Daphnia pulex: one gene and its partner. The protein of the gene in region 2 interacts with the protein of the main gene of each other region in a pairwise test. Links are inferred from orthologs where the notes say so. Each region holds a gene or a part of one and is shown on either strand. Other genes may lie near its edges.

Region 1 (4,032 bases), on a different chromosome or scaffold from region 2:
TCGACAGCTCAAACACCAAACTGACCAAGGAATCCTACAAAACAAAAGGACATTAATAAGCCGAGAACATTTTCAGATTTGAAAAAAAAATCTGTTGTCATAAAAAAGTCTACATCTCTCTATTAGCTGGTTTTCACAAAAGCTGTCTTACTTGAAAAGAAGTAGGTGTCGGATTCTTTCTTTATCAAAAATGTAATATACAACTAATATTCAAAACAAAGAACATATGAAGCATCCATAGTAGACTACAGATTGAGCAAAATGCTTGCCCACCGATTGATTCAAACTGGCAACTTTTAACAACTGCTGTCATGGAAGCAAGAAATAATGTCACTTATTTTCCGACATCAAGAACAAAATGCTACCTAATTCAGCTTAAGAGTAACTTTTTTACCTTTCCAGATTTCCTCTTTTCACCTTATTTGTCATTCAATATGGAAGAACCTTCTCTAGGACGCATTTTCATGACAAGACAGCGATAACGTGCACGCAACACATGTTCAGACAGTTCAAACTCCATAATGCTGCTTATAGAAAAATATTAACTCAATTACTACATATCAAGGAATTTCAATTCAGAAAGAGTCATAGGAATTAAGAGATAATCAACAATTTTACTTGTACATAGACGTCTCAGACGAAACGTGCAACACGCAGCAAGAGATATTTAAGAAAATGTACAGCAATATGACCAAGGATAAATCTAAGGGCACGAACCCCGTAAATTCACCACACAAAATATTTAAAGTTAATAACCTTAGATTAACGCAGAAATTACCTTTTTCGACGAAGAATTTCAGAAAAATGCACTCAGCAATGACTAGAGTCACTATTCTCGGACAGCGTCACAGTTTAAAAGAAAGAGGAATTAGAATGTCGTCTCAAAAGTCAAAACTTAAATAACGCCCCCATTCATCCCTCTACACACTAGGGCTGAATAGTTCAATCCCTAAACACATTGAATTATTTGGCCACCTAGTGACAGCCCTTAGCATCCACGGGACCACGGAGTCACGGACGACAAAAGTCAGACGGAAGACAAACCAAATGTTCGTCATCTCCGTGAAATAGATTTAGTTGAAATAAAAAATGCAATTATCGAAAAATTAACAAGTGAGCTTTGTTGCTGGAATTATTTTTACAGATATGTACAAAATAGCTTAGCTGAAACTGACTAATTTGATTTTACAGCTGAAAATGACCAAAGGCTTATGATAAAGTCATCTAGCGTTAGAAAAAAGAAACGTACAAACAATTCGTTCGTGACTCTCAAAGAGGGTCTGAATTAGAAATGACTCAGACACAGCTTTTAAAGCTAGTAGATTATTAGTAATTATATATTAAAATAAGTGAATTGTCGGGTACCTAGGCACCCGTGGTGAGTGACTGTCACAGCGGAGTGAAGTGGTCCAACTCGTCAGTAAACTCTTTACTGTAACTCAATATATACCACGTATTTAATACCATGATCACACCACACAACTATCATTCCTCCTTCATTGCTCACGTTACATTACCATATCTGGAAAGATGAATTATTGTATATGCAAATTGCTACAATTCTATTCAGTAGTCAATTTTCAATAAAGTGGATGGCTGAACTGAAAGACAATTTTTATAGTATCCTTCTCTTGCTTTTTAAATTAAGGCCGACTAGTCGAGATTTAAATAATAGCAAAATCACTCTCTAAAAAACCACTTTTTACTACTTACTAATTACCATTAATTCATAAATAATGACTACGCCGTCTACGCGAGTCCGTGAAATCTTCGCTTCAACTGTTCAACATGAGTGGCAGACGAATAATTTTCAGCATTAGCTCAACAGCATCCGCATGAATTTCCGTCCTTCACTTGTTTTTCCTGAGTGTGATAACACAACAAACCGAACCACCTGAAATTTCCAAGGTTGCGTGATAATACATGCCTGTTTGGCTGATTATTCAGCGTTTCTGAATTGAAACTTCGATTAATTTCCACAATGAGTGAAGCAGGTGAAGAAATCAACGGAGATTCCCTCAAAGAAAATACACAGCCTTTACGCGAAGACCTGGTAAGTGGTAACTGTAATTTGTAAACATTCTTTTGAATGCATTTCTAGTTTATTAAAAATGCTTTATCACATTAGTGGTACAATGCAGTGTAAATGATTAGAACATGGTTTTTCTTTAATGTGTAAACAACTGTGATTCTGTGTGTATGATTTACAGATTTCCACTGCTGTAAAGTTTTTGCAAAACCCCCGTGTTGCAACTCGTCCCAGGTCAGAAAAAGAATTGTTTTTGCAAAGAAAAGGATTAAACCATGCTGAAATTTCTGCAGCATTTGAGGCCTCTGGAATGAAAGAAACCAAATCAGTATGTCATTTTTATCCAGGCACATATATATTAAAAGGATGGATTCTACGATTTTTTTTTATTGAAGGAGGGAGGTGTAGGACATTACTCTTCAGTTAAAGTAGCCCAACTGCATGAATATAGTCGATCATTGGCACCAGTTGCAACATCAAAATGGAGTATAATCAGGGATATACTAAATGCATCAGTCCTTATAGCAGGAGCTGCATATAGCCTTCATTATTTGTACAGGTAAGAAACAACTATTTATCTAATTTCTTAGTTTGGAAACATTAAGGTTTTTTCTTTTACTTTTAGGCGATTCATAGAGCCTTTTTTATTTGGCCATAAAAAGAAGAAGTCATTGGCAGACACTGTTGAAGAAATGAACAAGAACCTCACTTGTTTAGTCGGCGACGTTTCTGCTGCTGTACAGAATCTATCAGACACAGTTGCTACGCTTCGTTCAAAACAGCACGAACAATCTGAATTGAAGGAGTTAAAAGCTGAAGTGACATCATTGAAAGCCATTTTGTTAGGAAGGTAAAGTGTCATATAAATTTATAATTTTGATTAGTAAGGAATATGTAAAATTATTGGAATTTCATTATTGGAATTTGAAATTCATCAGGCGACAGTTTCCTGCTCCTCCAGCAATCGTGACTGGGCCTCCCTCTATTCCCCCTTGGCAGTTAAGCTCAACTAGTGGAGCAAAACAAGATCTACGTGCTGAACAATCTAACAAGAACAATCAAAGCGATGGCATTTCTCTGTCTTCATCCCCAGAGATCATCTCCGTAGAGGACATGCAAACAAATTCTTCGTCGATGGTGAATGCTGGTTTGAGCTCGGTGTTACCAGCTCGTGGTCCGAGCGAGAGCAGTGAATCCAATAGTGCCGAAATAGTTGAAATGGGAGCTTCTGGCGCATCTGGGGAAGAAGATACAGATTAAATTGCCAATTTTAACCATATTATTAATATTATGCCTGTTGCTTTTGTGTTGGAAAGAAATGTGAAATTTAAATACTTTAGTTGATGGCCTTCAAAAGATGAGCATCGGTGATCGAGTTAAAATTTCAAGCTGTATATCAACTAGTCCATGTATTGACTTTTACTTATTTCGTCGGGTTCGGGGCATTAAGATAAAAAATGGGAAAAGAAGTCTTGTTTTTTTTTGTTTTCTTTTGTTTGGTAGGGTGAGCGATACAAGGGGTAGAAAGGGATGATGTATTCACACACTTCCGAAATGGATAAGATAATCAAAAGAAAGAGACAGAGGAAGAGTATTCACTGTACACAATTAAAGATTGTTGATTCCACCTGGTTAGCCATATTGCTTTCAACAATAAATCTGTCAACTGGAAGAGGAAAGTGTAAGAAGAGAATAGAAGGGTCAACCAATCATGAACAACACGTTTTGTAAGAAGAAAAAAAAATATTGTCGTTAGTCTCTCAGCACACTACACTCCACATCAAATCCATCCAATCGCACACGCGTCATATCAATTGTTGTGTCTGTTAAAGACAAGGCCGGTCGATTACGCAACGAGAAAACTGAGGCCATCTGAGGACCGTTTGTAGTGATACCTATCGGTCAAATAAGGGCTCCTCAGTAGTGTGCAGTTAAGAGTTGTTGATCGACTGGAAACTGATCAAAAGTGAATAAACGCAAGGGAATGAGACTTGGCTGCAGAG
Region 2 (3,689 bases):
TTACTTCCCTGCGCAGCAACCGCGATCAAAATGAAAAATCAGCTGAGGTTCGCATTGCTAAAGTTGCAATTGCTCTCGCCACCTTGTTCGTTTTCGCTTGGACTCCTTATGCCTTTGTGGCTCTCACAGCCGCTTTTGGAAATAGGTGAGATAATACTTTCAACAAATTTGTTCTCAAATAAATCACCATCGTCATCTTTTCACAGGTCCGTCCTGACACCACTTCTGAGCACGGTGCCTGCCTGTTGTTGTAAATTGGTATCCTGCATCAACCCATGGATCTATGCAATCAACCATCCCCGTTATCGGTAACACATCTTATTCATAGTGAAATGACAGTCATTCTTACCACATTTTTCTTCATCCTTTCAGCATGGAACTGCAGAAGAAAATGCCCTGGTTCTGCATTCACGAGCCTGTTCCTACCAACGACGATTCGAGCGTCGGTTCGGCCACGACAGAAATGTCTGGTGTCTCCAAGGAAACTTCTTCGTAAAATCTGCATAGCCTTTAATTATTTTGACCAAGGACCGAAACAGGATCATGAACATAACCTTCCGAAGAAAAAATCATCCATAGCAATTAGTAGTAGTTTTAATATCCCACAATATATATTGATTTGTTGAATTACAAATAAACAAACCCAGCATAACAAAAAGGAGTCATCATCACTTAATCGTACGATTTCGTCAACATTTGAGCGTTTCCTATTCACAAGCCTCTAAAAATTGGGGTAAAAAAAATTTGAATAATTTCACAAAGGCCGCCAATAATTTCAAACGCCTTAAATGTTTTTGAGGCTTTGAATATGAGTAGTGGCCCAACTCCATGACTGATAAAAATATAGCTCGAAATAACTGAATGGCATCAAACAGCTAACAATTTACTTTTGGACAAGGTTATTCCTTTGGTTTAGCTACTGTATATCAGTCAAATGAATTATTTGGGAGTCGAACTTTCGTGTTTGGCCAAAATTTTGATGTAATTCGCAGGTACGAGGCCCGTGTGTTGTGAATCGGTGCCGGCAAGCATCCAGCCTTTGATGCGAGGCTGAAGGGAACGGGGAGCCAAGCGTAGGGATTGGCCAGCTCTGAAACTTAATTCTTGTTCGTTTCCGGCATTGAAATCATAATCTGCCTGAGCAGTATAATATTCTCCTAGGCCATCAGCCCACTTTTTTCCTAGAGCATTAAAAGATTAGATAATTTGAATAAGCGAGTTTATGAAACAAAAGTTAGTGTGTTAACGCACCTAGTGCATCCGGAGCACTGTCTAGGGAAGATATGATCCTCCATATGAAATATGGGGCAGAAATGATTATGGCAAGGAACAAGGTGATGGGCCATGATGATCTGGACTTTTTAATATCAGCTTCAGTCAATAGACCCGCAGATAAGGCATCCGAATTTGATACGGCAGTGGACCATGCCGTATTGATTGGATTTTCTCGTCTCAAACCTGTAAACACAAGGGGGTTTAGTTGATAACAATGGCTGCAACTACTGCGTCGAGAATTTGCATAATCAGACATACCAAATATGTAGAATAATTTGTGTAGAGCCCATTTTGCCGTACGAAATATGGCCAATGCAGAAAACACCTTGCTTAAATGTGTTCGCATTCGGGAAAACTGATCAGCCATACCCAATACGGCTCTGAAAGAGCTGTAAACAGCATTCAAGGTTGAATCCAGCATCATGCTAATGGAGCTAAATGCATGGACAATTGATTCCAAGCTCTGAAATGCAGGTTGAGAACTCTCTTCTGCCATGGAAATAAACCTTGTTTGAGAAAAAATAATGAAATTGTTGAATTGTTGTAAGTATGATTATTTTAATTTTTAAAATTTTACCTGTTATCACTTGTCCCTCCATAACTTCTCCCTCCATAAGAGTTGTAACTTCCATATCCACCATAGCTGTTACCATAGCCTCCATAACTAGTACCATAGCCACTAGAAAGTCCCGAATAACCCCCATATCCACTACTGTAACCGTAAGGGCTTGAATAACTTGAAATGCCTGTTCGATATGGAGAATAGCTTGAAACTGCACCATAATCATTGTTTGTTGGGTTTGCCCCGGGTACTCTAGGAGGCAGTGGTGGGACGCCAGGCCCTGAAGCTGTAAAAGCACTTCCTCCACCCCCACTAAAATAATCAAAACAGATATTGATGAAGGTAACAAACCAAACAAATGAACTAAACACAACATGTATTACGCACCTGACGATGGGTGTAGGTAAGGTGTTGCCAATGTCGCCACCAAAAGCTCGTGAATTTACACCAGCCCTTTCCCACGGCTTTAATGGAGCTGCCATGGCGTTGAACGATTCAGACTAAAAACTCGAAGACTTTGCCTCGATTTGCTGATAAATCCAGCGAACTCTGATACAGAAAACGGAATCGACTTGTCAACAACAAGACGACACCATTATAAAAATTCCGAAACGAATGAGATGAGTTTGTACACCGGTAGATGGTAGTAGTGTGAAAATTTCTTTCAATTCAAAAATCTGCCGCAAACTTTTAAATACGTTAAGGATATAACTAAGTAACAATACACACGCGTTGATGCGTAATATCCTTGTCTGTTTACTTTTACTGTTTTGAAATTAAGTCTGACGACTATTTCAAATTTAATCAGATTTATTAATATCTTTTTTTTTACTGCAACATATTCAACATAATCGACAATGAAGTTTGATTATAAGGAATGATTCGGATGAAGCTAAAATGCTTGGGAAACCACTCAACATAATCTAAACATGTCAGGGATGAAGAAAGGGAGAGAGAGAGAGTGAAAAAAAGTTGAAGTAGAGAGCACATCATAAATAGGAATTGAAGAAAAAGGTTCTCGGATTCACGCTGGCAAGCAATCACTCCGGTGAGATTGAATTTCTATTCGTTGTCGTGCAGCAGCCAATTATTGGAGCTGCCTAAGGCTATAGGATTGGGGAAGGAGGAGAGTTGGGAATGGCCTCCAAGTGCCTGCACACAGCAGCACAGCTCTCACCAACCCGGTTCTCTGGTAGTAGTTGTGTAATAATTCTGCTGAGTGCGGTCGTGAAGCGTGCGTGATTCCTGATGTGTATTCAACCACCATTGCCCACCCCCCTATTCAGCCAACGTCGACTGCCAATAGGTTTCATGAACGCCTGCACGGCAGCGTTATGTAAAGAACTCGGCTCTGAATAGAAACTGCTAAACATCTCACTGAATAGTTGGGGCAGTCATTTCATAACAAACCCATCAAATCAGGTTCTCTTTTTAAAAAGTTATGAACGGAATCCTCCACAAAATCAGAGAGCAACGAGAAGAATATTTGAACAACAAAATCCGAGAATTTTCGAAGGATTGAATCTATAACAAACAAACTCTCCAACGTGAAAATTTCTCGATAAATATTCACCGTGAATACGACCATCATTAGATTGAAATGTAGTGGGCGTTATGAAAGAAAGTGAATTCATCTAATGCATCCTCTTGATCTTATAGCCCTGGCGCAACGTAGAATACCGTGCCTAAATATCTGGGCTGCGGTTGTTCATTCCGACCATCTGCATCTTTTCCGATTAGCCTTAAAAACGAGGAAAATAAATATTCAGCCAGACATCCCCATCAGCAGACATTACACATTTACCAGGACTGTGTCCACACATTCTGGTGTAAAGAGTGAAGCGAAAAAATC

What was found.
Region 1: the proteins of peroxisomal membrane protein PEX13-like (region 2) and peroxisomal membrane protein PEX14-like interact in a two-hybrid assay, tested with the Homo sapiens proteins (2 studies listed by BioGRID and IntAct, with this or other methods). The link is inferred for Daphnia pulex from reciprocal best matches to the Homo sapiens genes PEX13 and PEX14.

Annotation. Positions count from the first base shown.
Region 1 is NC_060028.1:9,567,987-9,572,018, reverse strand, and holds peroxisomal membrane protein PEX14-like, read left to right. Parts: upstream 1-1,276; 5' UTR 1,277-1,981; coding exon 1,982-2,053; intron 2,054-2,210; coding exon 2,211-2,357; intron 2,358-2,424; coding exon 2,425-2,588; intron 2,589-2,654; coding exon 2,655-2,879; intron 2,880-2,967; coding exon 2,968-3,289; 3' UTR 3,290-3,498; downstream 3,499-4,032. UniProt on the Homo sapiens protein: Component of the PEX13-PEX14 docking complex, a translocon channel that specifically mediates the import of peroxisomal cargo proteins bound to PEX5 receptor.
Region 2 is NC_060017.1:2,686,682-2,690,370, forward strand, and holds peroxisomal membrane protein PEX13-like, read right to left. Parts: upstream 2,450-3,689; 5' UTR 2,320-2,449; coding exon 2,225-2,319; intron 2,150-2,224; coding exon 1,853-2,149; intron 1,782-1,852; coding exon 1,534-1,781; intron 1,459-1,533; coding exon 1,252-1,458; intron 1,182-1,251; coding exon 940-1,181; 3' UTR 590-939; downstream 1-589. Other genes in the region: opsin, ultraviolet-sensitive-like, read left to right, coding at 1-145, 207-308, 373-496. UniProt on the Homo sapiens protein: Component of the PEX13-PEX14 docking complex, a translocon channel that specifically mediates the import of peroxisomal cargo proteins bound to PEX5 receptor.